4 linked regions of the Pelodiscus sinensis genome follow. The protein of the gene in region 2 interacts with the protein of the main gene of each other region in a pairwise test. Links are inferred from orthologs where the notes say so. Each region holds a gene or a part of one and is shown on either strand. Other genes may lie near its edges. The genes, in order: TBC1D22B, TRIM23, GEM and GPANK1.

The links.
Region 1: the proteins of TRIM23 (region 2) and TBC1D22B interact in binary tests that used the Homo sapiens proteins (3 or more experiments, as listed by UniProt). The link is inferred for Pelodiscus sinensis from reciprocal best matches to the Homo sapiens genes TRIM23 and TBC1D22B.
Region 3: the proteins of TRIM23 (region 2) and GEM interact in binary tests that used the Homo sapiens proteins (3 or more experiments, as listed by UniProt). The two-hybrid records come from large-scale screens. The link is inferred for Pelodiscus sinensis from reciprocal best matches to the Homo sapiens genes TRIM23 and GEM.
Region 4: the proteins of TRIM23 (region 2) and GPANK1 interact in binary tests that used the Homo sapiens proteins (3 or more experiments, as listed by UniProt). The link is inferred for Pelodiscus sinensis from reciprocal best matches to the Homo sapiens genes TRIM23 and GPANK1.

Annotation. Positions count from the first base shown.
Region 1 is NC_134737.1:16,850,290-16,857,341, reverse strand, and holds the start of TBC1D22B (TBC1 domain family member 22B), read left to right. Parts: upstream 1-4,040; 5' UTR 4,041-4,259; coding exon 4,260-4,315; intron 4,316-7,052. UniProt on the Homo sapiens protein: May act as a GTPase-activating protein for Rab family protein(s).
Region 2 is NC_134716.1:90,184,231-90,191,541, forward strand, and holds the start of TRIM23 (E3 ubiquitin-protein ligase TRIM23), read left to right. Parts: upstream 1-4,301; 5' UTR 4,302-4,450; coding exon 4,451-4,585; intron 4,586-4,676; exon of another isoform or gene 4,677-4,810; coding exon of another isoform or gene 4,811-4,924; intron 4,925-7,311. Other genes in the region: TRAPPC13 (trafficking protein particle complex subunit 13), read right to left, coding at 3,801-3,846.
Region 3 is NC_134712.1:40,657,719-40,664,880, reverse strand, and holds the start of GEM (GTP-binding protein GEM), read right to left. Parts: upstream 3,010-7,162; 5' UTR 2,859-3,009; intron 1,060-2,858; 5' UTR 1,051-1,059; coding exon 720-1,050; intron 1-719. UniProt on the Homo sapiens protein: Could be a regulatory protein, possibly participating in receptor-mediated signal transduction at the plasma membrane. Has guanine nucleotide-binding activity but undetectable intrinsic GTPase activity.
Region 4 is NW_027466017.1:274,857-282,147, reverse strand, and holds GPANK1 (G patch domain and ankyrin repeat-containing protein 1), read right to left. Parts: upstream 3,018-7,291; 5' UTR 2,776-3,017; intron 2,248-2,775; 5' UTR 2,179-2,247; coding exon 1,604-2,178; intron 1,394-1,603; coding exon 931-1,393; 3' UTR 25-930; downstream 1-24. Other genes in the region: CSNK2B (casein kinase II subunit beta), read left to right, coding at 3,588-3,657, 5,817-5,899, 6,089-6,191.

The sequences.
Region 1 (7,052 bases), on a different chromosome or scaffold from region 2:
GAACCGATTCTTATCCCCTCTCTTTCACTCTTGTTCAGAATCGAAAGTTGGCCTTTGTCTTTGGCGCGCTTCCAGCCAGAGTCTCCTGCTAGCACCTGGGGAGAAGAAAAGAGACACCCTGTAAGAAGCATAATGTGCAGTTATAAAAGTGGCCTGGCTTCTTATCAAGGGTAGACTCGTGCTGCCCTCTGGCGTTGGCATCTCCCATTTGGGCATTGAAACGCCACCAGGTTTTCATGGGCTCAGTGCTTGGCTCTTCTGAAAAATCTGACCCCAGTGAGGGCTCCTGACTGCTAGAAAATCTGGTCATAAGAATCCTGGTCTAACACCTCCTCCCCTCCCTTGAATGTCAAAGGGAAACTGGGCATAACCAAGTCACACTCAGGCAGAGCGGGTAAACGATGCAAGCAAATCAACCTGCTAGCTGTTCATCCTGACTTTATGCTCACTTAGTCCTGGGGTAATTGCCTGCACATGATGCAGGGCAATGGCAAATCAGACCCATTCCCTTCTCAAATTGCTGCTCAACTAATAACATTTTGCCAATCTAGAGCACTTTCTGAGGTCCTCGGAGCACTTTGGAGAGTACTGAAGGAACCCTCTGCTCTTCTGAGGGCATGCGTCATGAGCCTCACTTTACACATGGGGAAACTGAGGCACGAAGCAGGGTGGTGATTTGTTGACAGTCAGAAGGGCAGGTTGACACTTGAGTTGTTCACCTTGAATAAATGAATTGCTAATTAACTCAAGGCAGTTACTGTGTGTCTGCACAGACTTGCTGGGATGCTCCCCAAATGCCTGTTCCAGAATTGCTAACGTTTCTTTACCTCAGAGTTTGTCTGTAGCCCGTAACAATAGTTTAGGACAGTGCTACACAGACCTTGATGACCTAAGAGCCAAATTAGCAATCAACAGTACCCAAAAGAGCCACAGGAATATGAATGACAGGGAAATATTTAGCTTATAAAACTTTTTAATTAATTTGCTGTTAGACTATATAATTTATAATTATACTTAGTAATTTAGTGCAATCTGATAACAATTCATTAATAACACAGTAAAACACAGCACCGTGATTGGTTAATCATTAAATCACGTAGTCTTTTAACATCCTGTGCTGCACAGAGCCCCAGGAGATGCATTGAAGAGCCAGTCTCAGGCCTGGTCCACCCTGGGAGTGCTCAGACTGGCTCTCTGCAAAAGCCCTAGCTACCTCAACTGAGTCCAAAGAGCAAACTTGGGGGCAGGCCAGTGCACAGAGAAGCCAGGAGTCCCCGCATCCAGCTCTTTGTGTTAGTGGCCAAACCACCCCCTTTCATTTATTTACAAAACAAGGTAGGAGAAATAAACCTGGTCCAGATTTTCAAAAGTGGCCACCGTGGGAGACTTTCTGAGGATCTGAGCTCCCGTGAGGGGACTGAGTCATTAAACCTCGTTTGACAGGGTCTGTCTCCAAAGGAGCTCAGCTTCCATTTAGACGCCCAAAGGCAGTGGCCATGGTTCTGAAAGGGAGCAGTGAATTGCTGAGCACATCTGTAGCTTTGTCCATCTCCTTAGAATTTTGGCACCAGTTTGGGTGCTGAGATCTTGAAATGTTGATGAATAATGCAGCTAGGCCAGGGGCAGAGTTAAGGGTACCTGTGAAACAGTCACTTTGGCATGCCCTGACATTGGGTGCCTTGCCTTGCAATGTTTATCTGACACAGAAATTGTCATGCAATATTTAAGGCGTGTGGAGGTGTGCGTGCGTGCATGTGTGTGTTCCAAAGGCCTTAGAAAAGAAAGATGGTCTGGTGGCCAGGGCACTAGTCTAGAAATTGGCCTCTTATGAGGTTCCAGTTAGCAGGCCTGGCTGGCAATTGCTGTATCCCTGCTGGAGGCAGCCAGAGCCATGTAAGAACTGCCAGGGTAAAGTCAGCAGCCCAGCAAGCTGGTTAGTATAAGCACCAGAGTTATTGACTTGAGTCCCACGACTTGAACTCGAGTCCGACTTAAGTCGCCGAGGTGACTCGACTTGAGACTTGACTCAGGTTCATTGTTTGTGACTTGAGACTTGCTAATTTTGTTAACTCGACTTGGTGAAAAAATTGTCCGAAAATGCCGACATCAACGGCTTGTACAAAAGTGACTTGACATTTTTTAAATTAAGACTTGAGACTCGACTTGGGACTTGACTCAAAAGTGACTTTAGGGACACGAGACTCGACTAGAGACTTGAACTGTAGTGACGTGAGACTCGACTTGGACTTGACAATGACACCTTGAAGACAACACTGATAAGCGCTGTACGTCTGTACCTACTGACAGGTTTTATGCTGCTGCCCTTTGCTGTGATGTCTGAGAACCTTCTAACTAAAAATGATAGGGTGACCCTATCATCCCTAGTAATCATCCCAGATAAACTATCTGGCACTTTGTCCTTTTCGGAGTTAAAATCTCTGCTTGGCAGAGCGGGCCAGGTTCGGGGGGCAGTGGTTAGATTGTGTTTGTTGATTTGGTTTGATAGTTACTGATCTGGGACATCTGCAATGGGAAGAAAGTCTGTATATTCTGGACCTTGTTGTTATAAACTTGAAAATTAGGTTTTATTTGGTACTGGGTCTGCATGCCACAATTGCAGCTTGCTTAGTTTCCTGTTTGTGCTGTCTTGGTCATTTGGTTGCCAAGACAAAATTGTTATTAAACATGAATTGTTTTTAAACATATAAGAAATAATTACAACAAATGCTCCTGAAATAGACTGATTTTTACATTAGTTGTTTTTTAATTTTTTTCAGTTACAGACTAACAAGGCAACCTCTCTGTGATTTTTATATTTTTATTCTTCAAATAATCCAAGAGCTTCTAGGGAGCTAAGCAACCCCCACTGAAAGTTGCCCCTTCACCACTGAAATCTGAAATGGCATTACTACTTTCTGTGAGTTCCTTGTTAATAAGGATTATAATTACTTATTGTTTGTATCCAGTAGCATGGTTCAATAAGACAATGGAAAAGTTACCAATTTAGAGAAATTGTATAACATTTCAGTAAGGAGAGAGAAATATCTGTAGATCTAATTGTCATGCATACCCATCTCTCTTACCTATGTTTCAATTTGCCCATGGGTGGTATGTACTGTGTTCATCACCAGGCTAACTAAGTGCCTTATAAGTGTTATAATTTTCCTTGTGTGATTCCATCCCACTTGCATGAGCAAAATAAGATTGTTTTAAAAGTGTGAGCAAATCAAGATGGATTTCCACCCTAATTCCAAGAGGCACAGGTTCAGATTGGGACTGGGAGCTCTGTTTTGATGCAGTCCAGGATTAGACCCTAAACTACTCAGGTAGAAGTCTTTGAAACATCTAAAATAGAATGAAGTTGCAGGACTTTGTGATGTGAATAGAAAAAGTGGTTTTTTCACACTCAGCCTGAAGTACCAGAAATGTAACTTACAGCCAAACAAGCTGTCACTGGAGGGAGCAGGGAGGTTTGAGGACTCCCAATGGAAAGTTTGGGGAAATGACATTTAACTGAAAAGGGAGATGAGATGGAAGCTCCAACTCTAGGGGAGCCCAGCCACTGCACAACCCCTCTCCCTCTTTCAGTGCAAAGTGTTTAACCCCACACGACCCCTCCTCCCCAGTGCAGCTGGTTTAACCCTCTCCACCTGTCCTTCCACAGTGAAGTGGTTTAACCCATTCCCAAGCAATGCAGACCCCCTCCACCCCGCCTCCCTGGGGCACATGGTTTAACCCTCTCCTCCCCAATGCAGACGGTGTAACTCCCTCCAAGCGCAAATGGCTTAATCCCCTCTGTCCCTCCTCCCCAGGGCAGAGGAATTGTCCAATTCCCCCCTCCTCTCCCAAGGGGGGTGATTCGTCCCCTTCCAAGCACTGGAGATGGTTTAACCTAGCCACCTCTTCTCAGAGGAGATGGTTCGCTCCACTCCACCCCTGGACATGGTTTATTCCTTGAGTGCACAGATGGTCTCTCCCGCCTCTCGAGGCCCTGCCCCTCTGCCCGGTCCTGGCCTCCCTCGCTTCCCGACCCTGCAGGATCCCGGCTCTGGATTGGCTGAGCTGGAGGCCGCGGAGCAAGGCAGCCAATGGCCGGGCTTCGCCCTCCCGGATCCAAGATGGCGGCGCCGGAGCCTGGCAGCGGGGCCTCCGGAGGGAGGAGGTGAAGCGGCCTCGGCCCGCGGCTCCGGGACCTGTCGCCGCTCCCCCCTTCCGGAGCCGGCCGGGGCCCGGCCCCAGCCCCAGCCCCAGCCCCAGCCATGGCCGCCGAGAGCAGCAAGCAGTTCTGGAAGCGGAGCGCCAAGCTGCCGGGCAGGTGCGTGCGGCCCTCGCCCCCACCCCCCCCGCCAGATCTCCGCCCCCCCCGGCCCGGTCAGACTCCCCCGCCTGACCCCTCCCCCCCCCGGCCCGGTCAGACTCCCCCGCCTGACCCCTCCCCCCCCCCCGGCCCGGTCAGACTCCCCCGCCTGACCCCTCCCCCCCCCCGGCCCGGTCAGACTCCCCCGCCTGACCCCTCCCCCCCCCCCGGCCCGGTCAGACTCCCCCGCCTGACCCCTCCCCCCCCCGGCCCGGTCAGACTCCCCCGCCTGACCCCTCCCCCCCCCCCGGCCCGGTCAGACTCCCCCGCCTGACCCCTCCCCCCCCCCCGGCCCGGTCAGACTCCCCCGCCTGACCCCTCCCCCCCCCGGCCCGGTCAGACTCCCCCGCCTGACCCCTCCCCCCCCCGGCCCGGTCAGACTCCCCCGCCTGACCCCTCCCCCCCCCGGCCCGGTCAGACTCCCCCGCCTGACCCCTCCCCGGCCCGGTCGCCCCCCCCCCCCGGCCCGGTCATACACCCCCCCGACTCACCCTCCCCGGCCCGGTCATCCCCCTCCCTCTGCGGCCCACTCCCCCTCCTCGCCTGCCTGACCCCCCGCTCCTCCCCCGGCCTGCTCTGCTCATCTCCCCTCCCCCCACCTGACCCCTGGCCTCCCCTCTGGCCTGGTCACCCCCCCCCGATTCCCCCCCGCCGGCCCAGTCACTCCCCTCCCCCACCTGACCCCCAGCCCGGTCACATGCCCCCCCGGCCTACCTGGTCACCCCCACCTGCCTCAGTCACAGCCCCTCCTGACCCCCCTCCCCCATCTCCCTTTTATATTCCTCCTGATTGATTCCGGACTAGTCCATTAACTGATCATTTCCAGCTGGGCCTGAGAGGAGCCGACCTGCCTGGGAATGGGATTCACTTCTCCTATCCATTTGTGGGTACTTGTAATATGTATCTCTGCATAGCTGCAACCTTCACCAGGGAGCCAGTGACAAAAGGGGGGCTGTGCTGGAGCCTGTTAACTAACCTTCTGTGCACCTGCATCCCCCAAGTCTCCATTCAGTGGGGGATGACAAGCTGGAGCGGGAACAGTTTGGTTTGGCTTTTTTTTGGGGGGGGGGGGGTGAGGAAGCAGTGAGTCCTTTCCCCTTCCCTCTGCATCCTGAAGTGGGGAGGGGGCAATGTAGAGAGGAGCTTGCTGGGTGTCTAAAGGCCTACTTCAGAGCTAAGAGCACAAGGTGCCCCCCTCGTCCTCAAGGCCAGGCACGGCCCTGGACAGCAGAGCCTCCCAACAGAACAGGTGTCCTTGTATCCCATGTGAGATTGTAATTCCCTGCATTCCTCTTAACCCTGCTTCCCAGGAAGTGTGGGAGTCTGGGGGGGCACCTTCCCCACCTCACTTCCTCTGGCCAGGGAGCAGCAAGGGAGGCTTACTGGGTGGGAGGGACTGCACCAGCCATTGCCTTGAAATAGATTAATGACAGCAGGGGGCAGGAAACTTGCTCTGGGGAGAGGCTCCCCACTTGTGGCTTTGAGAGGAAGGTTCCCAAAGAAAAATTCAAAGCAAATCCCCAGGAGAAAGCGAGGGAATAGGGAGGTTTTACCCACCTCCCTGTGAGGAGTATTACAAGGGTAGGTTAAAGTCTGAGCGCTTCATATGGGCATCACCGTTTCCACGCTGCCATTAATCTCATCTTGACCCTGCAGTCCCCTCCTGGTGTGCACGTGCAGAGCCTTTGAAATGCTTAACTGGCTTTAAATCCTGCTTGGCCAGTTAATCTTCTCTTTCTAATGCACTCTCACTTTCACTCTCCCCCTGCTCAAACTGAGGTTGCTGGGACAGTCCAGACCTGGGAGAGTGGTGTGATGCTGCAGACATCACCCGCAGCTCCACCTTTTTTTCTGACAAACGAATGCCACTCTGCATATGCACGTGTCTTGGAGTATAATCTTACTATCGGGTACATGTCTTATCTGTAGCCCACATCCTGCCCGTGCAGAGGGTGCTCTCTAAGATAGCAAGTTTTTTCCATCTCGAACAACTTTGAGCTCCGCTTTTGAGAGCTTAACCAGGCAAACCCGTTTGGGGAAATAAGTAGGAGCCAGCCAGCCCGGAACTCAAACTAGGGCACTGGATAAACTGTTCTCTCCCCCAAAAGGCCAGCATGCTAATAGTTTGTCAGATCTAGCTGTGTGTGGTGGTACTGGCTCTGTTCCTAAATCCCTGCTATAATCACCCACGCTTGGAAGCTGTCAGCAGAGAGTGGAGGAGGGAAACAGGAGATGCTAGGTTTATGGCCTCGGAGGTTAAGATTACTTAAGAACTGCTTATCCAACCTTTCTGGGATCTTTTCCTGCATATTTGCTGGCTCTTTCCCAAGTCTGTGCTGATCACCCTGGAAGGAGCTGAAGATAATGTCAAAGTTTGGATAAGCACTTGGGCTTTCTCCATTCACCGCATCTCTTTGTGATCAGTTTCAGTTGTTCTCTAGCTTGGTGTTCAGCTTGGTGTGCCACCAAGAGGTTCTCTAGGGCTGTCACGGCTGTTCCCCACTCTGACAGGATAAATGCAGAAGTTGGGGGCCCACAAGAGTACTCCAAAACCTTGCCTCTACAAGCTCTGGTACAAAAACTTCCCTCCAAAATCCTAATACCCAGATTTTGGGGGACCCACTGCCACCATCAAGTGCTTTGAACCCCAAAATAAAAACACAAATGGGTGGATACCTGGGGTACCCCAAGCTCT
Region 2 (7,311 bases):
AGTCCCAAACCCAAGCTTGGGGGAGGGGGGGCGCAAAGAGGGGACTGAAGGCCCAAACTTGTTTGGCCCAGATCCCAGGCAGGAGCCATGTGGGGAGGCAGCATCACTGAGTCTGGGTACCCCAAACCCCATCTGTAGCTATGGGGGGGGGGTGTCAGAAGCCAGGAGCTCAGGCAGGAGCTATGGGGCATGAAAGCTCCAAGTCCTTGCAGGAGCTGGGGGAGGAAGAGGAGAGCCAGACAGGACCACAGGGCAAGAGGCATAGCCCTGAGTCTGTCAGGAGCTGTGAGGGCTGGAGTTGAAGAGGGTGGCAGCCCCCACCCAAGTCCTTGAGCTTAGACAAGAGCTATAGGGGGTAAAAGCTCAAAGTCCCAGCTGGAGCAGCAGGGGGCAGCCCACAGCCTAGGACCTGGGCAGGAGCCAAAAGAGAGGGGGCAGCACTAAGCCTGGCAGGAGCTGTGGAGTCTAGAGTTGCATGGGGTGGCATGCTCCAACAAAGACTCCTAAGCCCCAGCTCGGGGTGGGGGAGGGCGGAAGGAGGGAAAGGAAGCAGAAGCCCCAGAGGTCAAGCACAAAGATCCCAGAAAGAGGCCACAGGGAGGCTGGGGAAGGCCTGAGCTGGGCAAGAGCTGCAGAGGGTGGCAGCCTACTAGACAGGTCTCCTGAGTCTGAGCAGGAGCTATAGCTAGAGCCTGGGTGGCCCCCAGACTAAGGAAGAGCTGAAGCAGAGAGGGGATAACAGCAGCCCAAAGCTGTGCCAGGAGTTGTGGGTGGCGGTGGCGGCAGCAGCAGCCAACCCAGCTTCCCCGAGCACTGTTCCCCAGGCCATCTGCCCTGAGCTCCAGCAAGAGGCAAAAAGGGTGGAAGCCAAGAGCCCATCTTCATTTTTGTGCTGCCTGTGGAAATAAATCTGATCTCCCTCTGTCATGCAGGGGACAGCTAAGTCTTGTCCCTCTGCAACATGGCTGACCTCAAAAAAGTCACATTTCATAGGAAAGAGTTTCACGATTCTTGACATGCATTTCATGGGTAGGGCCCTGCTTATGTACTTGAGTAGTCCCACTGAATTCAACTGTTACAGGATTGTGGACTTCATCTTAAATTACTCATTAGTGCTACTTAACATGAATGTGCAGGTACAATGATAAATGACAATGCCAAAAGCAATATCACCTTTATTCAGAGACAAAAAGGAAGACAGATTATTTAGTGCTCTGCTCTCATTGCTACAGGTTCCAATTCACTACTGACAAAAATTGTCATCACGGCACTATGGAGTTCATCTCCCTTGCATGTTTGACTTGAAGTACATAGAATAGAAAACTCATTAAATCAGTTATGGACTGTGGAGACGAAGAAATAATTAAGTATGTAGTTGTCTGTGGAGCAAAGAAGAGTTAGAAGACAAAAATACATATGGATATCAAATGCTATCGTCTTACGAACATGTAAATATTCTGCTGCACATGCTGAAACTCTTCTGCAAACTGAGGTTATTGCAGAACACAGAGTTTTCATCACCCTAAGTCAAAGTTGTTTACGTGCTCTGTGACTTCCACAAGCTTTCTAGCCTTTCCCTCTCCAATCCATGCAGAACAGTATCACTACAGTAGTCATCCTTTTCCCAACTAGATCTTCTCTCACCCTCACGCCTCTTCACCTGCAAAGCACTGCATAGCTTTCCCACCGCCCATAGCTTTGTGTTTCTTTCAATCCGACTGAGGTGTTTATAGGCTTGACCAATCTCCTATTAATAAAACAACATTCTTCACTTGTATATTTTTCCTTCAAAGAGTTTGAAGTACTTATTCCTGAGTGAAAAATTATGCACCAAACTCCCATACCTTCTGCAAATGCTGTTTGTTAATGAATAAATATGGAGGTTCCATCACGGCAGTGGAAAACACAGGTCACTGGCTGCATGGAGGTGGATGATCATCGTACAGCCCTATGCTCACCCTTATGGACTAGCTGCACCGAAGCCTAAAACAAGGGAAGAGCCAAGCCTGCTCCTAATATATCCCAGGATCCTGTCCCTCTACACCAAGCGCATCAGGTATGTGGAGGCAGGTCCAGATTGGCAAGATCCAAATGTAAAGGGGTTTAGTGTGTGGGTGGAGGGGATCCAAGTGTGCAGTGAGTTCTGTACGGGGCAATGTGGATGCAGGTGGACTAGTGGGGGCTTGAAGTATGGGAGTTCTGGATGCAGGAACAGTGGTTGGTACTCTGCATGAGAGGTCTGGATGTATGTGAATGGTTCTCAAAATGGGTTCTATTGTGTGTGTGTGTGTGTGTGTGTGTGAAGCTTGTTTGGATGGGGGCCCAGGTGCATATGTCTGGGGCTTAGAGAAGTAACAGGCTCAGTGGGGTAGTCCAGGTTAGGGATATAAGCAACTCATCTACTGCCCAATAAGCATATGTTTATTGGGTAGTCAAGTACTGACTCCATTAGTCACTTCCCTCTGTCCCCGACTTGCTGCCACCATGAGAGAGAAGCAGAAGTTGGGGGAAGCAGGAGCCAGTGCTGGGGGAAGACAGCTTAAAAGGGCCAGGAATCAGCTGTCCCGGCTCACGCCTTTTTCTCCCATTATGCCTCTGCCTTCTAGAGGTATTTAGAGCCTGGCAACTTTTAATACATTTAGAAGGCAGAGATGCAGCAGGGTTAGCTCCCAGCCAGTTTCCCTCTTATCAACGAATCGAGTAGTCGATGGAAATTTCATTGACTACTCGACTAGCTGACTACCTGCAATTTAACATCCCTAGTCCAGGCAAAAGTGTATTAGGCTCTCTGTATTAGGCTGCACAGAAGCTGCACAGAAGCTTGGGGGTGGGTGGGGATTTGGCTCTGTATGGGATGGTTCTGTCTGGAGACACTCATTTGTTGAGTCATCTCTCTAACTGAGTTCCCTGAAGTCCGTCCAGTCAGGTTTTCTGGGCCCTGGAGCACAATACATGCTTAAGATTTAACCTCTTCTTGCCTGTGCTGTATCCAGGAGGAGGCTGGATTATGTTAGTAGCCAGCAGCAACCTTAAGGTGTTAGCTGCTTTTTGACAGTGGGCAGGGAGGCAGGGACAAAATAGTGGATGGTGGGGGAAAAGAGAGGAGTTCTGCAAGGATATGCTACTACCCACTGTGTAGTGTGCATGCATGCGTATGCATGTTTTCTCCCTGTGAGCTCTCAAACTTTAAAAAATAAGACAGATGGCCACTCACTTGAAAGTGAGTAATTTTTTCTGTCCTATATTCAGCATAGGGAGATATGGTCACCCTACACACAACCCACATCGTCTGATTACATAAGTGTTAATCTCTGCCCAAGTCCTACTGAAAACTAGCCTATGATGCAGTTCTTCCCCGTCTGCTACTGCACATTTCTGTGACACCTCCAGCAAGTGCAGCGGTAAGCAGGCAGCCCCCAGGACAACACCTGTGCGGTTGCTCTTTAGTACACGCAGGTCTTCACTCTTCCTCCAAAGGCGCTAGTCGCACCGGCCCGCTTCTCATGCCACCCCGCAGGGCAGGGCAGCGCCGCCTGAGCAATACAGCCACTGTCAGGGCTAAGGGGGAGGCAGGGGCCCACCCCCAGGAACCCGCGACATACCCCCGGCCCGCTTCCCTGCTCCACCCGGTGGCCCCAACCGACAGCCGGTGCCTGCGCCTCGCTTTCTGCCCCACCCCCGGCGGAGGGCCTGGGGCTGAGGCCTTCCAGGGACGCGCTTCACCTGCCGGCCCAGCCGGGGAACGGGCCGCCGCGGACGCAAAGGTTTGGGGGAGGGGCGTCGAGCTGCCGTCTCGGTACCTTTCAGAGCCAGCAGATGCTCCTGCTTCGGCTGATTCACATCCATGGTCTCGGGCACCCCACGCGGAGCCTTCGCCGCCCACACCCCGGCCAAGCGCCTGCCAATGGCGAAAGGAACACGACGCGGCTCCGCAACTTGAGCCCAACCGAGCGAGTCCGGGAAAACCCGGAGGTGAGTTTCCCGGCATGCAACGCGCCATTTGGGCCCCAGCAGGAGCGAGAAAGCACTACACCCCCCAGCATGCACTGCTCCCTTTGAGCCTTGGCACGCACAGAGGAGCACGAGGGACTTGCGCACGCCGAGCGGTGATAGGAGGAGTAGTCTTCTAGGGAACCTGGACTAATCGCGTTGCATGCTGGGAGTTTAAGTCTTCTCAAGGTGACTGAGCGGATGTCGGCGTATTATCTCCGAACCTGTAGTTTTCACGAGTTGAGAGCCATTGTATGATGGGAACTGTAGTCTTCCTACGTCTCACGGGGAATGAATGAGACGCATGCGCAGTGACGTTGTCGGCGGCCTCCGGAGAAAACCCCGGCAGGATTATTTTTCATTTCTGCGCGGATGCTTCGCGTAGTGACGTCACAGCGCAAGGCCGGTGGCGTCAGCGCGTGGCCCGTCCTCCTGTCTCTGCTGGCTTATTGGCTTGTTGATGCGGAGGTGGCTCGTTCCGCCTCCCTTTCCCAACATGGCGGCTATGAGTGTAAACAAGGCCGGGCCCGGAGCGGCGCTGGATACCGGCCCCCGGCACAGCGGTAGCCGGGGGCCGGCTGGGGCTGCTGTCAAGGTAAGAGGCACCGCGTCCGCGCGGGGGCTGCCCGCCCGGTTCGTGCCACAGCGCTTGTCGGAGCGTAGTGATGCTGCGCCCCTGCCCCGGGAAGGGGGCTGGGTGGTGACCCGCGCGGGGCTCGCAGCCTTTTCCCAACTGCGTCAAACAGCCCCTGTGCAGCCGCCGCCGCCTCTTCCCGTGGCTTCCGCGCGGGCATGGAGAAGCCCGCCAGAGGGAGGACGAATGATTTGCTGCGGCTCCTGGGTCCCGTCGGCTCCCGCGAGTGCAGGCGGCAGCCCGCTGGGAGACGAGTGGGCTCCTAGCGTGGGGGCGGGGGTTGGCCCTACCGACTGCACGGTCCGTTTAAAATCTAGGGTGTCACAGCTTCAGATCTTTAAATCTGAAATTTCATGGTGGTGTAACTATGGGGATCCTGACCCAAAAGCGCGGGACAAAGCTGTTTTAGAAGGGTTGTGGTATTGCCACCTCTATTTCTGCACTGCCTCCACAGCTCGGTGTCTAGAGAGTGGTGGCTGCTGGACACCAAGAACCCAGCTCTGAAGGCAGTGTTGACAGTTGAAGTAGGGGTAGAGTAAGGGTGACAATAACATAGCATGTTACCCTTTTGCGCTGCTGTGCGTAGCCTTGACCAGGAGCGGCCACCCAGCTCTTCAGGTAATGCAGAAATAAGGGTGCCAATGCTGCTATTGTCTTCTGATAGCCAGATTTCATTTACAAGACCATATTTCACAGTCCGCTAGAGAGTCTGGTGAGGAAAGTCAGGGGAGGGAGGCACCATTGGCCACGTGATTCTCCCCACCCCACCCCTGGCTGGAGGACGGCTTACACAATGCCTCTCTGCCTCAGGACCCACCTCTTCCTATCGCGGCTCCACCCCTGTCCCATCTCTTTCCCCAAGACCTTACCTAGGAGTTATGCAGCCTGCAGGACTAGCAGAAGTTTGATGCGGGTAGCAGGGTTCACAACCTCCCTGCACTCACCCACAACAGTGAAGAGAAGTGGAACAAAGCACTCCCCTAATTGCTGGCTGCTGTTGCTCTACTTCCCACCATTGAGTGCAGAGGAGGGTGGTCCTGCCCAAGCCCCAAATGGTTGGTAGCTGGGATGGAGGAGCAATGTTGCTCTGCACCCTTCCACCCTCTCTCACCCAGCCACTGCAGTTGAGTGCAGGGGCCAAACCCCTGCTGTGAGCACCATGCTCCCTAGCTAGTTTCTTGGGTTGTCCAGAATCTCTAGCCCTTTGCTCATCATGCCCATAGTATTAGGGGGATCGTGTGCACCCTCGGCCTTCTTTCATGCATTATCTCTGCAGTCCTAGCTGTGAATTTGGTAGGGCCCTAAATAGGGATAAAATACAGGACTATGTAGCACTTTAAAGACTAACAAGATGGTTTATTAGATGATGAGCTTTCGTGGGCCAGACCCACTTCCTCAGATCAAATAGTGGAAGAAAATTGTCACAACCATATATACCAAAGGATACAATTAAAAAAATGATGAACACATATGACAAGAACAAATCAAATTTCAGAACAGAGGGAGGATGCGGGCGGGGGGTGGGGGGGCGGAGGTAGATGTCTGTGAGTTAATGGTATTAGAGGTGATAATTGGGGAAGCTATCTTCGTAATGGGTGAGATAGCCAGAGTCTTTGTTGAGACTCAAGCGTAGAGTGTCTAATTTTAGCATGAATGACAGTTCAGAGGATTCCCTTTCAAGTGCAGATTTAAAAGGCTTTTGAAGCAGGATGCAAGTGATTAAGTCGTTGAGACAGTGTCCTTTCTGGTTGAAATGGCAAGAAACTGTTTTTTCTTTGTGATCCTGTCTAATATCTGTTTTGTGGGCATTGATCCTTTGGTGAAGTGTCTGAGACGTTTGTCCAACGTACAAAGCAGACGGACACTTTCGGCACATGATAGCATAAAATATATTTCTGGATGTGCAGGAATATGTGTTCTTGATCTTATAACTCACTTGGTTAGGTCCAATGATGGTATCAGCAGAGAGAATATGTGGACAAAGCTGGCACCGAGGTTTGTTGCAAGGGAAGGTACCAGGATTGGTATTAGTGTGGTATGTCCTGTGGTTGTTGGTAAGAATCATCCTGAGGTTAGGTGGTTGTCTATAGGAGACTATGGGTCTGTCTCCCAGAGTCTCTTGAAGTTTAGTGTCCTGTTCCAGTATGGGCTGTAGTTTATTGATAATGTGTTGGACAGATTTAAGTTGGGGGCTGTAGGTGATGACAAGTGATGTTCTATTGTTGGTTTTCTTGGGTCTGTCTTGAAGTAGATGGTTTCTAGGTATTCGTCTGGCTCTTTCAATTTGCTTTTTTATTTCTCCGGGTGGGTAGTTGAGGTTTATAAATGCTTGATAGAGATCCTGAAGTTTCTGGTCTCGTCAGTGGGATTAGAACAGTTGTATCGAAGAACGGTTGTATCGAAGGGCTTGGCTATAGATGATGGATTGTATGGTGTGTGCTGGATGGGAACTGGAAGCATGTAGGTAACTGTATGAGTCGATGAGTTTTCTGTAGAGGGTGGTCTCTAATTTTCCATTGTTAATTTGTACTGTGGTATCCGGGAAATGGATCTCTCGTGTAGAATGGTCCAGGCTGAGGTTGATGGTGGGGTGTAGATTGTTGAAATCTCTGTGGAACGTCTCCAGTGTTTCTTGCCATGCGTCCAGATCATAAAGATGTCATCGATATAGCGTAAGTAGAGAAGGA
Region 3 (7,162 bases), on a different chromosome or scaffold from region 2:
GCATCGGGTGGGTGGCTCGAGCCGTGCCAGGTGCAGGGTCTGCTGGCTGGGTGCTGGCAGGCTTGCACCTGGCACGGGCACTGTAGCCAGCCCGTGCCCCTTTAAGGGGTCCGGGGCCGGGAGGGGGCAATAGAGTTTCCCTGTTGTTGGCCAGAGTGGCCACCAGGGAAACCTGGGGAGGGCTAGGCTCCCACTAGTTCGAATTAAGGGGCTACACACCCCTTAATTCAAACTAGCTAGTTCGAACTAGGCTTAATCCTCCTAAAATGAGGTTTTCCTAGTTCGAACTAAGCGCTCCGCTAGTTCGAATTAAGTTCGAACTAGCGGAGCGCTAGTGTAGCGCCTATGAAAGTTAGTTCGAACTAACGTCCGTTAGTTCGAACTAACTCTGTAGTGTAGACATACCCTAATTTAGGATCTGATGCATTTACAGCACAGTTAAGAATTAATCAGACTTCAAAAGGCTCAGATGCTATATTTTCCTCTGTATTTCAGCAGAGGTAAGTCTTTGTCAGTGAGGGTTTTTTGTGTTTTCATAGCCCCTAATTTTTATACAGGATATACTGGAATCAGCTTTGAAAATAAGGGCCAAGTGTGTATCATCTCAGTTTCAGGGCTGCCAGATTAAACAACCTCAGTAGTTTTCTGTGTTATTACTGATGACTATTGACAAGAAAGGCTTTAAGAAAACATAGACTATACAGAATGTAATGACCTACCTCCTAGCACATCGCAGTCACTGTCCATACTGTCATGTACGCCTGCAAAGATATTGGCCAAGGTAGATTTTCCCACTCCATGCTCCCCAATCAATACCACCCTGTAGTAGGGACTCCCGGACTCAGAGGAAATGACCGAATCAGAAGACTCTGATGACCAACTCCTTCGGTAATAATCTTCGGGGTTCATAGTGTATCTCTTGCGCATGTAGTACTCATGGGGGTCCTTGTGGACAGTCAGGTGTCGTCCATCGGCAGGGATGCTCCAGCGTTGCTGTTGCGCATGCAGCACACTGCTGCTGTGACGCATGGTGACGTTATTCAGAGTCATGGTTTTTACCTAGTAAAAAATAGCGAAGTTGCAAATGTTAGACCCCCAAAATTAGCAATGGTCACCATGTTTAAATAAAACACCTGGTGTGCAGACAAAAGAAGAATTAGAATGGTTGCCTCTTTCATTTGCCTCTAACGTTTCTAATTAGCAAGCCATCGTCATGGCTTTAGGATTCAGGTTGAAATCAGCATTACATACTAACCTATATGTTTGACTCCCCTGAGTTGTGAATGTTAAGCACTATTTTGGGGATGGTGTGGAGCTGCACTGCCCTGAAGGGTACCATCGAAGGCAGACTGCCTTTCCTAGCAGCCCATCATGTGAGTAGGAGGGGGGCGGTGCACGCTGCTGTGTCCTTTCAAAGAGCACGTAATTCCCGGTGAGCTCGTCCCTGCCCATTCTGGGGCGCTGTGAAACTCTAGGGGTGTGCAGAGGGAGAACTACAGCGAATGCAGTTGTGCCTGTCCCTTACACAGATTAAGCAATGGAGCGAATGTTTGTTGCACCCTCCCCATCACTGCATATGCATGTAAAGTCCAGCGGAGTCCGCTCGCACTTTGTTAAACAAGAAATCATTCTTTGCCTGCAAAGTATCATGCTTAGTCTCAACTGAGAGTTGACTCTGTTTTGAGAGCTACAAACATTAAACAATGCACATATAGTGCAGAACCACAGCAACAAGTCTTGGTATAGTGGGCTTGATTTTGCTCTCAGCTATATCAGTGTAAAAAAAAAAAAGGAACACAGTGGAATTAAGCTGGTATCAAATTGGTGTAAGAGAGCAGAATGAGGTCTAATGGGATCCCAGCGTATGTACCTGATCATGCCACTAGAGTAGAAATTACAGGGAGAAAATAGCTCAAATTTGCAGTCTTTAAATAAACAACTTAATTTGACTGAGGAGCAACTAGCCAGGTTAGCTCCTCTTGTCTAAACATGGCTTTTAATTATATTTGACTTTTGAATGTATTTTGCCTTGGTTGGAGGCAGAATATTATGATGTCATTCCTAGTGGTCCCACAGCTACCATTTTTAGGAAAGTTACTTTGATGCTCTCCAGCTCCCAAGGTGACAGTTATTTATACATTTTGCTTTTGTAGGAGTAACTCTGATGGTTCTCCGTTCTCTTCTGCATATTAACAAAGAGAGCGTCTGCTATTAAAACATCACAGACCGTTTTCAAACTTTATTCCTCATTTGTGTTTGCAAGAAGTGCCCCATCTCCTCAAATAGCACACTAGCAATTATTTTTTCTAACTTAAGCAACCACTGAAAACGTTTTAGAGACAGTACAGAGCCGGTCAAACAAATGTGCTGAAAAACAGCAAACTGTACCTGGAATTTGAATAGCTGCCTTTACCGAGCATATTGCCTCTGCTCTACAACTTGTCACCTATGCCATTTTCCTATCTGTAATTATAGCATTTGTTGCAAAATAAGTGCATGTGTATTCCATAGTTCACATAAACTTTTGCCAGCAAGAAATGAATTTAGCTGGAGAGGAGGCACCAAAGAAACACCGTTTCACAAACAAAATCAAATATTTTCACTTTCAAGTATCTATTTTGACTGTCAAAAAGACAGAATAAGAAATGTTAACTTTGATTTGGTTAAATAATAAACAGTCTACTTTGCTAGTAGTGCCTTCTTAAGGAATTTCCATGCTAAGCAAAACTTTAGAACTTACTGTAATACATTCAATTCCAAATTCACATGCCACATTTCATTTATCTACTTATTACCATCATTTCCCTTCACAAAAGCAATACATTCAAACTAACACTTTTCAGCCAGCACTACCTTACTTTGCACAGTTTCTTCCAAACACAGTCAGCTCCTTTGGTCAGTGGAGTGTGATATATTGAACTGGTCTGCTGGAATAATTCCTCTCCTGTTGAGTGGCTGCCTCTCTAATTCCTTCTCAGCAGACCCGGTTTATATTAAGACCATCTGATCAGAGACAGGGCTTTTCCGTGACGTCGTTGGCCTGTCCACACGAAAGCCAGCCCCCAGCTGGGAGGAAGCAGGCATACAGAGAAGCAAAACCTTACAGTAACACTAACAAAATCCCTTACTTGCAGTCATATGATTCTTTTCTTCGTTAATGATGCCAGTAAACCTTTTGTCTTTTTGCAGGGGGAAACAGGAGAGTGGAAAAATGCAATAAATTCTTATTTCATAACACGTGTCTTTCAGCTCTGCATGCAAGTGCTCTTGAAATCAGTGATGGCTAAAGAATTGCTTGTGCTGTTCTAATGTCTCAAGTGCGACAAATATATTTCATTATCCAGTTACAAAATGGAAGGGGCACCATCCTGGAACCTCTTAACGCCTGTATGTGGTCATAGGTCAAGAATTTATAAATACCTGAAAATTAGGAATTTTGTTCTATTTTTCAGTATAAGACTGATGAATGCACAAGATCCCATTTTTCACTTTCTTTACAACCTATAAGCCACTGAACAGTTTGCTCATGTTTACATGTGTTTTGGATGCACAGAATCTTATTCGCTGTGGTGTTATTCCAGTTTGGCGCTAATGGAATTCCACTGATCTCAAAGGTGTTATAGTCTCATAAAAGAGAAGCAGCACAAGGCTGCATAGTTTTCAAAAACTATATTGTGTGTTACAAAATACGCGCTTGGTCCTTAAATCTTTACTCTTTTAAGCCTCATTAGCTGTAAGGCGTTTTGCCAGAGAAAGCACTGCATTATCACACTCCTGTCCTGATAGTTTTAAGGATGAATGGAAAATTTTAATTGATAGAGACAAGTATGTTTACCCTGCAGTCCTCTTTCGAGAGAGGAATGCAAATGCAGCTGAGCAAAATTGCAAATGAAGCGCGGATTTTAATTTCCCATGCTTCATTTGCATAATCACATCCAGGCACTATTTCGAAATACCCTATTTCAAAAAAAGAAACGCTGTCTAGATGCGGTTATTTAGAAAGAAAACCCTTCTTTCAAAATTACCCGTACTCCATATAAAATGATGTTTAAGGGTAATTTTGAAAGGAGGGTTTTCTTTCAAAATAACCATGTTTAGACAGTGTTTTTTTTTCGAAATAGGTTATTTCAAAATAGTGCCCAGACGCGATTATGCAAATGAATCACAAGAAATTCAAATCTGTGCTTCATTTGCAATTTCGCTCAGCTGCATTTGCATTCCTCTCTCGAAGGAGGAATGCAGTGTAGACATATCCAAGGAAGATCCCTTACCAACAGTGTATACTGTCTCCAAGTGTTTTATAAAGTCATATAACATTTTTACTAATAAAAAACTAAAGAAATCTGAACAGATGAACTCAAATCCATTTCTGAACACGGACACAATGTCTTTGTGGGCAGCATGATTCACTGCTGTAAATCAGGAATAGCTGTGTTCTAGGTAATGACCCGCTACCATTGAACTATAGTGCTAAGAAAAGATGGAATTTACAAAACTCTTCGACAGAAACACGTTAATTTTTTCTTTTGGCAGGGATCCTTTCTGTGCTCCTTTTCCAACATATAAAGACAAAAACATTCTCCAAAATAATATTCTCCTATAAAGGCAATGGAAGTCACTCAAACTTGGCAAGAATTGGAGAAGCAGAATAAGCCCTTATTTTCACCTGCTCATGTCTCCGAATGCAAAGTTGCATGACAAACACAGAGCTTCATCACAACTTGGAGTATCAACTAGCTTTCCAGGATGACTGAATCACCAGCCAGTCCTGTGTTTGCAATATTAAGGTTAAATATCAATAAGAAGCTTATACCATAAGAAGCAGCCGTTTGGTCTATGGCCATAGGGAATCGCTATGAATACTGGTTTGCATAGCACTGCAAAGTCCTATCATACAGAATTGACTATTCTCTTGTTGGAAGAACAGCTTCATGCCCCAAAGGCCATGTGTGACGGAGTGCGGTTACAGACGACCCTTCGGGGGTGACTCCCGGGGTGCTGACACGGCCACTGTCACTCACCCATTTGACTTCCCGCTCTCTGGGGCTCCTCACCACCTGGTCCTGCTAGGCCAGCTCTGCTGGTCTCCCCCAGACAAGACCCCGAGCTGGGGTCCCTGCCCCCACCGAGAAGCAGTACAGACACGGAACCTCTTCAGGTCCAAGGAGAGTGCGGTTTAGTGCCCAGCTTCCTGGGATGTCGCTCCCCAGATGGGATCAAACCCCAAAGAATTAGATAAGGGTAAGCCACCTTTAACAAAGAAAGGGGGAATGTACACCCTAGTTGCCCCCCCCCCCCAGGTAATGATTATTTACACTGGGTTTGATAGAAAATAAAAATGATTTTGTTACATAGAAGCAGTAGGATTTAAGTGGTAATAAGAGAGAACAGGCAGCGCAAAGTAGGTTACAAATCAAAAGAAACAAAAACACTTGGCTAATTCTACACTGAAACCTCAATACAGATTTACTCAAACTCACCCTAAAGCCTCTTTTCCAGCTGCGCTCCAAACCAGGGCTGTCTCTTCACTCTGGGGTCTTCGGTTGCTTTCCTTCAGGTGCAGCCCAGCCAAAAGACCAAGGCCTCTGCTTTCCTCTTCTTTTTGTTAAAGAATTGAGGCCACTCCAACTAACCCCTGCTCAGCCTTAAGGACAAAAGAGATTGTTTAACAGTTGGGTAACACCCTCCTTGTCTCTTATTCACACATTTAAAATCCACAAAGTATTCCCCGCTCCCCAATTTTACACTAAAAAAAATGATACACATGTAGTCCCCTTACTAAAAGGGCCTGTTTTATTCTGAAAAGACCCTGTGTGCTACAATCCAGACTACAATTCCCATGAGCCCTTGGAAAAAAAAACAGGAAGGGAGGACTCTGGTGGGAGAGAGGACTGCTCTCTCCCATGTGCTTGAAGAAAGAGGCCTATCAGTCTGGGACTTTGCCTTGGAGTTTGGAACCAGAGGGGGAGCCAGGCTGCTGCCAAGGACATTGACCCAGTGCAAGGGCTGTTGGAGTGCAGCTACTGGATGCCTGTTGGAACTGGGAGTTAGCAGGCTGCCTCCTATAGGCACAGCATGAGGCAGTAAGTTTGGGCCTTGTTGGAAAAGTGCTGCCTGGAACAGAGCTGCTGTTTAGCCTGGACCAAATCCTCACTACAGCTGCAACATCAGCGCGCCAACGCAAGCACGTGTCTGGGACTGAGTCTAGGGGTGTGCACACTCTGGGGTGGGGTCACTGTTGTCTAGCTATATAAGCTTCAATTATTGATATGTGTTTGTTAATGCTATTCATTGCTAATCTTTTAATCCCTGTTTATTCAAATTAAGTAAAGATTGTTTATTTTAAAGTGTTCTATTAGATATAAATGATTTGTAGTTGTTCTGGAATTAGATCCAGATGTATGTTGGAATGAGTATATTCCTGGAGGCTCTCAAGGCACACCAGTGTGTGTTCAAGGCCAGCCAGGTGGAGGCACTGCCATTTTACATTCATTGCCAGCAAGGGACTGCAGTAAGGGGGTGGATAGGGCTTTCCCCAACTAGACACCATCACCACTGGGGTGCTCAGGATCTCTTTTGGGTTAAAACACCAGGCGCCCAGGCACACCTGTGAGTGTGACCTGCTCCCCAGTAACCCGGGGAGGAAAAAGGGGGTTACACACACATCAAAGTAAGATAAATAGAACCAGCAGATCATGACATGAAGATTGATGGGTTACACAAAATAATTCACTTAAAGCACCATTGAGTTATGTATATTCATGTCCATAAGTCCATTTCATAAAGCTTGGGGAGGGAGGGGGGGAGTCTGTCATACCATGCTCAGATTTTACAGAAAGGACACCAGTTCTTTGGCAGGCCTATTCATTTGGCTTCACTTTTCATCTTGCTGGTGGCTGTGGAACTATCCAGAGGTTATGCAGCTGGCTAAGTGCCTGGAGTGCCCTGTTCTGTAGCGCATGTTCATTTGGCTCATTGTAAATTATTATCATTTGTAGTTCTAAATGTGAAAACAACTTTTCTCTGCCACAGGAATGAAAGGGTTTATGCCCAGACTGATCAAGCAAAGTCAGAGGCGATGATGGATTCACTGGAAAATTGTAAATAGATAATACTGAAAAGCACAGACGGTAGCACTATATGTAGAAATAAACTCAGAGAC
Region 4 (7,291 bases), on a different chromosome or scaffold from region 2:
CAATCACTAGAGCCACAAAACAACCAGGGAGGGACCACTATTTATTCTCACTTAAAGATTCCAAATCAAATAGAATCCAAACAAAAACTGAGATTTGTTTCCCCTCCAAATCAGTCAAAATCCCCAGACACCAAAAAACCCGGCCAGCATCTTTTCCTGCTCACACATCTCACTGCTTTCTGAGCAGAAGGGAGAACAGCAACCAGGCCACGTTCCCATCCCTGAATCATCCCATTAAATTACAGGAACAAGAGCTTGTGCATGTTGGCCTAGTCAGCAGATCTGGCATTCTAAGACCGTGAGGATTGCAGAGATGTGTCTCTTCCCTGATAGCTACTGGCCCTTTAAGAAAAATGATGTCATATCAACCAGCCAATCCAGAATTCCAATAGGCCGAATGGTTTGAAGAACTGTAGGCTGAGTGGTTAATGGTGCGGCACAGAGATCCCATTGAGATGCTTCTGGTTCATAGTCAATGTTTTGTCAAGGGTTTGCATCCAACATGTCAAGGAAATCAACTGTCTGGATACTTTCAAGGACTGTGCGTTATTAGTTAATGGTACTCCACAAAGATGACATCATAGGTTAAGGGTCAATACTCATGTAGACATGAGGGATCTGATTGGCTAAAAAGTTTTCCTGGGCTGTAGGTTTGTTGGCTAACAGCGCAGGTATCAGAAATACCAGAGGTTGAATTTCTCAAAAAGCACCTCACCTGGATAATCCAACTGGCTGCATGATTTTAGGGTTGTTAATTGTCTCGGGGGGTTAAAGGTCAGAGTTCATGTAGACATTCCATCCTGGCAATCCAAACAGCTGAACATTGATAGGAATCAGTGAGTGTGAAAGGTTAAAGGTCAAAGTGAATGTAGATGCACCATCCAAGCAATCCCAGTAGCTGAATAACCATCGAGGCTCTTAATCCAGAGTTCAAAGGTCAAGGTTCATGTAGGTGCGCAGATTACGCTCCCAGGCCTGTGCTTTGGCCTCTCTGCGACGGGCCTCTTTCTTCCCCACTGTAGCTGCCCGTTGTGTCCTAGGCTGCTGCTCCCTGGGCTGAGCCACAGCGCTGGGGTCATTAGCGTTGAAATGGGTGACCTTGGGCCGGAGGTCGCTACGGAAGCCCAGGCCCTTCTGGTCCCTCTTGAGGACAGTCTGGACAGGGAATTTACGACCAGTGCCCTCAGGCCCCAGCCCAGCCTCAGCGTCCCAGCCCCCCTTGACCATGAGCTGGAAGCCGACGTTGTTCTCGGGGATGTGGTAGCGGGTGGGAGGCAGTGGGTCGCGCCGATTGAAGAGGTGGGCCGTGGAGCGTTCGTGGAGCTCTACGCTGTCCTCGCTATAATGCATCTTGCACACGGCACAGTATTTCCTCTCTGCTGGAGTCCTCCTGCTAGGGAGACAACAGGGTCAGGGACTACTTGGTTGGCTCAGGGAGATGAGGAACGGGACATAGGGCCTTTCCCCTTTTGGTCCCATCTGGTCCCAACTTGGGGAAACTAGCTAGTTGAGGCAGATGGGGAAGGGGAGACGGGACCTTTCTTCTCTAGAGAGCTCTAGCTCTGATTGGGGTTGGGTCAGGTGAGCAGAACCGAAGACTCACCTGGCCATCCTGCCCTCTGGCTGAGCCGTTTCACGCTCCTGGAGGATCCTCACTACATCCTGGTGCCCGGCTTCCTCGGCTAGGTCCACCGCATCCCGGCCCTGCGACTCGCACACGCCCACCCATGCGGCTCCCCGGGTCAGCAGGTATCTCACGGCCTCCCCCCGGCCTGCATAAGCGGCACACATGACCGCCGTCCAGTAATAACCGTCCCTGTAGTTCACATCGCACCCCTCCTTTTCCAGCAGCCGCCGCAGGGTCCTTGTGTCACCCTCCTGGGCCGATCTCAGCAGCAGGTTCCCACGGCGAGAGTCAGTCTGCCCTGTCTGGGTGGTGGGTGTCTCAGGCACCCTCGGGCGTCTCGGTGGGGCCTTGCGTTTTCGTAGGGGACTCGAGCGGTCACCGGAGGCCAGGACGCTCTCATAGAAGCTCCGGGCTTCCTCGCCTTCCATATCCGCATCCCCTTCCCGGCGTCGGACAGGGCACCCGGCCCGTATCTGGAGCTGCCCATCCTTCCAGAGGTCTGACTCTTCCCGGGCCCGGGTGAAGGAGATGAGCTGGGGGCCGGAGTTCATGGTGGAGACGGGGGGATGGAGGTGGGTCACTGGGCGGCCCCGGTGCACAGGGCGGGATCAGCCTGTTTCCTAGCGGGGAGGGGAACAAGGCCGGCAAAGGTAGGAGGCAGAGCGGTGATTTCCCCGGGGGGGGGGGGCACCAGTGTCCTTGGGGGACCCGCAGACAGGGCCGTGGGGGTGGGGTGCCGGGGGGGGGGTCGGGCGGGGGCCCTAGCGAAATGGGGGCGGGGCCACGAGCCGGGGGGGGGGTTTGAGGAGTGGAGCCGGGTCCCGAGACGGGTGGGGGTGGGGGGTGAGACCAAGAGCCCAGGAGGGGAGTGGGGGCTGGGAGGGGGCGGGGCCAGCTCCTTGAGGGCGGAGCCCGGGTCTGGGGGCGGGGCCAGCTCCTTGAGGGCGGAACCCGGGTCTGGGGGCGGGGCCAGAATCCGGAACGAGCCCCCTGGGGGCGCTGTGGGCGGGGCTAGCGCCCCAGGGGCGGGGCTAAGGGCCAGGGGGCGGGGCGAGCGCCTCGGGGAGCTGTGGGCGGGGCTAGGCCCTGGGGGCGGGGCCAGCCACACTCCCGCCCCTCCCCCCAGACGCCGTCGCGGCCCCACTCACCATAGAGACGCCGGAGGCCGCAGCAGCCGCGCGCCGCCCCCGGGGGCCAAGGGAAGGCGCATGCGCGCGAGGCCGCCGGTGGGGGGGGCAGGGGGGTTCCTGGTTCTAGGCACGCGCATGAGGGGAGCGGCTCGAACGCAGCCTCCCGCCGGCCGGTTACTCTAGGCCGCGACGAGTGACCCGCGACGCGCATGCGCAGTACATCCCCCCCCCCCCGAGGTGCGTGCGCACCGTGTTCCAGACGCGGGAAAAGCAGGCGGGGCGCGTGAGTGACGTCACGTAACGCGTCAGGCGGTGAAGGGAGGAGCCAGGCTCCTGCGCACGGGAGCCCAGTGAAACCGAGCCAGGGGGCGCGCGTGCGAAACCGAAAACAGGCGCATGCGCAGCCCCGTGCTTCGAACCTAGAGGCCAGCACAGCGCATGCGCAAGGGCCCTCGCGCTCTCGCTGGCCTAGTAACGGCCACTGCCCCGCGCGCTTCCCTGCTTCTAGCGTGAGGTGCGCGGTAATCTCATTTGCATATTACCCAGCATGCCTTTCTGCCTCGAACCCAGCCAATTAGCGTCGATTTGTTCCCATTTCAATAGAATTAGATTTAATTTGGGAAGGAATTAATGACAGTAGGATCGGCTCGCAGGCGCGTGACGTCATCCCGACGTCGGTTCATTAACACACCTTCTAATTTACCTCACCCTAACCGGATTACGTCAGAAATAGCCCTACCCGCGACAGGCTAATTAACATATTTGTAATTAACCTGTAGGTCAGCGTAATTAACCCTTCATGGCCGGTACCAATTAACGTGCCGGGGCAGATGAGCACGCGGGGCGCCATGGAGTACAGCAGAGCCAGCACCCGGCGGAGCAGCACCAGCATCAAGGAGGGTAAAGGAAGCCACGCCCCCGGCGGGGAGGCCACGCCCTTTCGTGGGGGCCGGACACTCCCGGAGATGAGGCCACGCCCCCTGCGGGAAATCCCGCCTGTCCCAGTAAGGGGCACGCCCTCACGAGGGTTAGACCACGCCCATTTTGCAGGGACACGCCCGTTTAGGGGAAGCCACGCCCTCTTTGTGTTGGCCCCGCCCTTTAATATGGCAGTTACTCTGGGTGAAGTCTCACCCCATCGGGACAGGCCACGCCCATTTGCGTGCGGACACCCCCCTTTTTGGATAAGCCCCTCCCCTTCGGGTCAGGCCACGCCCATGTCTGATGGCTTTCAGGTGTCCGGGCCCCTCCCCCATGCGTCTGGCTCCGGTCTGCTCCTAAGAGACGGCGGGGGGGGGAAGACCGCTCCTCCCATTATGCTCTGCGGCCCCTCCTCTCGCCCCTCCTCTGGGCTTCGTAGTTTCCCGCTCCCCCGCCCTCCAATCCCGGCAATGAGGCTCGGGCGGCGACAGAACTACAACTCCCAAGCGGCCTTGCGGCGCCTCCCCCGGCTTCCTCCCGTCCCGCCTATCGCGTTCAAACATGGCGGCTGTAGTTCGCGCGGGGAGCTGCGGGACTACAACTCCCAGGAGGCCTTGCGGCGCCCGGCTGCGCACGCAGCCGCTTCTCTGTCTGTCATGGCGGGTGTAGTCTGTGAGCATCCTGCCGCCCGTTCGTTCTAATGGCCCTAGGGGCACTCCGGGACTACGATTCCCATGCTGCTTTGCGGCTCCGCGGGGTCCCCTCCTGCCGTACGCCCGTAGTACCGTCGGGTCCCGCTGCCCATGCGTCCCAATGCGGTTCGGGCGGCTGGAGAACTGCAACTCCCGTCGTGCATCGCGGCCTCCCATCACCCCCCGCGCCCGCTGCCCCCGCTTTGCATGGTGGGAGCGGTAGTTCCGCGCTGGCCCCGCGTCCCTGGACTCCTATGGAGGCGGCGGTGGCTGCGAACTCCATCTCCCGTCATGCCCCGCGCGCTGGGAGGGGGCCGGAAGCGAGGCCTGTGCACGTCTGGCAGCGCTTGTTTGCACTCGCTGCCGGGCACCGCCTGCTGCCGAGCGGGGCTGAGCGCGCGGGGGTGAGTGTCCTGCGCCCTGGTGCGAAGAGGGGCGGGGGGTGGACTGCCCTTGTGCAAAGGGCCGGCCGCGCCGTAGTGCAAGGGGGGGCTTCTACCCTAGTGCAAAGGGGGGGCGGGGAGTCTGCCGTAGTGCAAAGTGGGGGTGGGGGTGTGCTGTAGCACAAGGGAGGCCGGGGTGTCTGCCCTAGTGCAGTGGGGGGCGGGGGGATTTGCTCCTCGTGTAAAGAGGGAAGAGGGCCTTCTCCTAGTGCAAAGGTGGGGGGGGCTGCCCCTACTGGAAGGCATGGCGGGGGGATTTGCACCCTAGTGCAAAGAGGGGGAATTTTCACCCTAATGCAAAGGGGGGGGAGCCTGCCCTTAGAGGCCGGAGGTGATTTGCATCCTAGTGGAAAGAGGGGAGGGGGCCTAATCCAACGGGTGTAAGAGTGTGTGTTCTGTCCCCAGTGCAAAGGGTGTGTGTGTGGGGGGGGTCTGTCCCTAGCACAAAGGGGGGGGCATGTGCTCACTAGAGCGAAGGGGGCATGTGGCAGGGTCATCTGCCTTCTTAGTATCAAGCTGGGGAGGAGGGAGCTGTGCAGCGGGAGGGCAAGGGGGCCCAGACCCACACAATGATGAGCGGTCTGCCCTTGTGCAAAGAGGGGAGGAGGGTGGGGGCATTTGTGCCCCAGTGCAAAGGGGGAGTATTTATCCCTCATCTCTGCCCGTGCCATGGGAGGACGAGTTAAAGATACAATGGGGGAAGGGCCATTCACCCTTCATGCCCCACCCCAGAGCCAGCTGCATCTCAGTGCCGAGAGAGGGGTCCCTGTAGAACTGCCCCTCTCCCTCCCCGTGTCCCACCCCAGAGGGGGCGCATCTGAACGCTGTCTGAGGGGGCTGCTCCTGAGGGGGCTGCTCCTGAGGGGACACGTGAGGGGACACGTCACAGCACTGGCTGCACGGTCTGTAGTGGGAGCGGCGTGTGGGGCTGCCAGCCAAGCCCGAGCCACGTTCACCGCACACACGGGTAGCCTGACGCGCCCCCCCCCCCCCCCCTCTGCAGAGGACGGGAAGATGAGCAGTTCCGAAGAGGTCTCCTGGATTTCCTGGTTCTGTGGCCTGCGTGGAAATGAGTTCTTCTGTGAGGTGAGTGGTGCCTAGTGGTTGGAGCCAGAGTGCCTGGGTTCTCTGCCTGGCTCTGGGAGAGGAAGCAACTGGGAGCCAGGACTTGTCCTGACCATGGGAGGAGAGTGGGGTCTAGTGGTTGGAGCATGGGGGGAGGAGGGCCTGGGAGTCCGGACACCTGGGTTCTCAGCCCGTCTCCCTCCCCCGCAGGTGGATGAGGACTATATCCAGGACAAGTTTAACCTGACGGGGCTGAATGAGCAAGTCCCCCATTACCGCCAGGCGCTCGACATGATCCTCGACTTGGAGCCAGGTACTAGGTGGGGGTCCCAGGGCTGAGGAGGGGTCTCGGTCTGAGCCCCTGACCCGTCACCAGCCCCCTGCCAGCTTTGTGTGAGTCCTCGTCTCCTTCCACCCTGCTGCCGCTCCCCGCCCCTCTGAATGGGCCGGCATGTCGAAGCCAGACAGCTGCCCCTTCGCACGACTGCCGGCCCAGGATGCGTGCGGCACAGTTGTGTGAGCAGCAGGGTGTGTCTTGCCCAAGCGTGGGGGACAGGTGTGCGTGTCCATTTCAAAGTTGTCCGTCGCAGGGTGTTTGTGTGGTGCACAGGCATGAAGGATGGGATGTGTGCCTCTTGCACACACGTGGAGGAGGGTTGTGTGTGGATGAAACATGCACGTGGCACACAACCTGGCTCTGAGCTCCTTGTCCTCTCTCGTGCACAACTGCGAGGTCCTGGGATGTTTGTGCCTTTGCACGAGGCTGCATGTCTTTTACAATATAGTGAGGTCTTGATTTGCACGTAGCTGTTTTTTGCACAAGCACGTCACAATTGAGGAGGGCTCATTATGATCCCCTTTCCGGGCAGCATCTGCACTCGTACCCATCTAGACATGCGAAAGCAGCGTGGGTGTGTCAGCCGTACAATGGACTGGCCTTGGTGGTGTCTCTTTGCCTGAATCATTGAGACCCGGGGTCCTCCTCTCCCATCTCTTCCTTCCAATTTGACATGGCCAAATAGAAGACCGGACCACCAGGAATAGCCACGGGGACCCGTCCTTTGACATATGGGCCCTGGGGGAGAATCGCTGAATGGGAGCTCCCGACGTAACATGGGTCAGTGCGCAGCTGGGAAGGCAATTTGTTGGTTCTGTGGATGGAGATAGAGATCCCAAGGCCAGGAGAGTCGTGAGTTCAGCAATTTCACGGTTCGCAGGGCCCACGGGAATTGGCTCCCGGGATCACGCCGGCTGGAGCACGGATGAGTTAGTTAATAGCATCCCATCTGGATTGAAAAATTGCTGGCGACGGAGAATCCCCCAAAACGTGGGCCAGCGGTTCATTACGTTCCCTGATGTCGATCTGTGCCGGGAATAAGCAGGAGTATTTCCCACTTCTTCCTACTCCCGCGT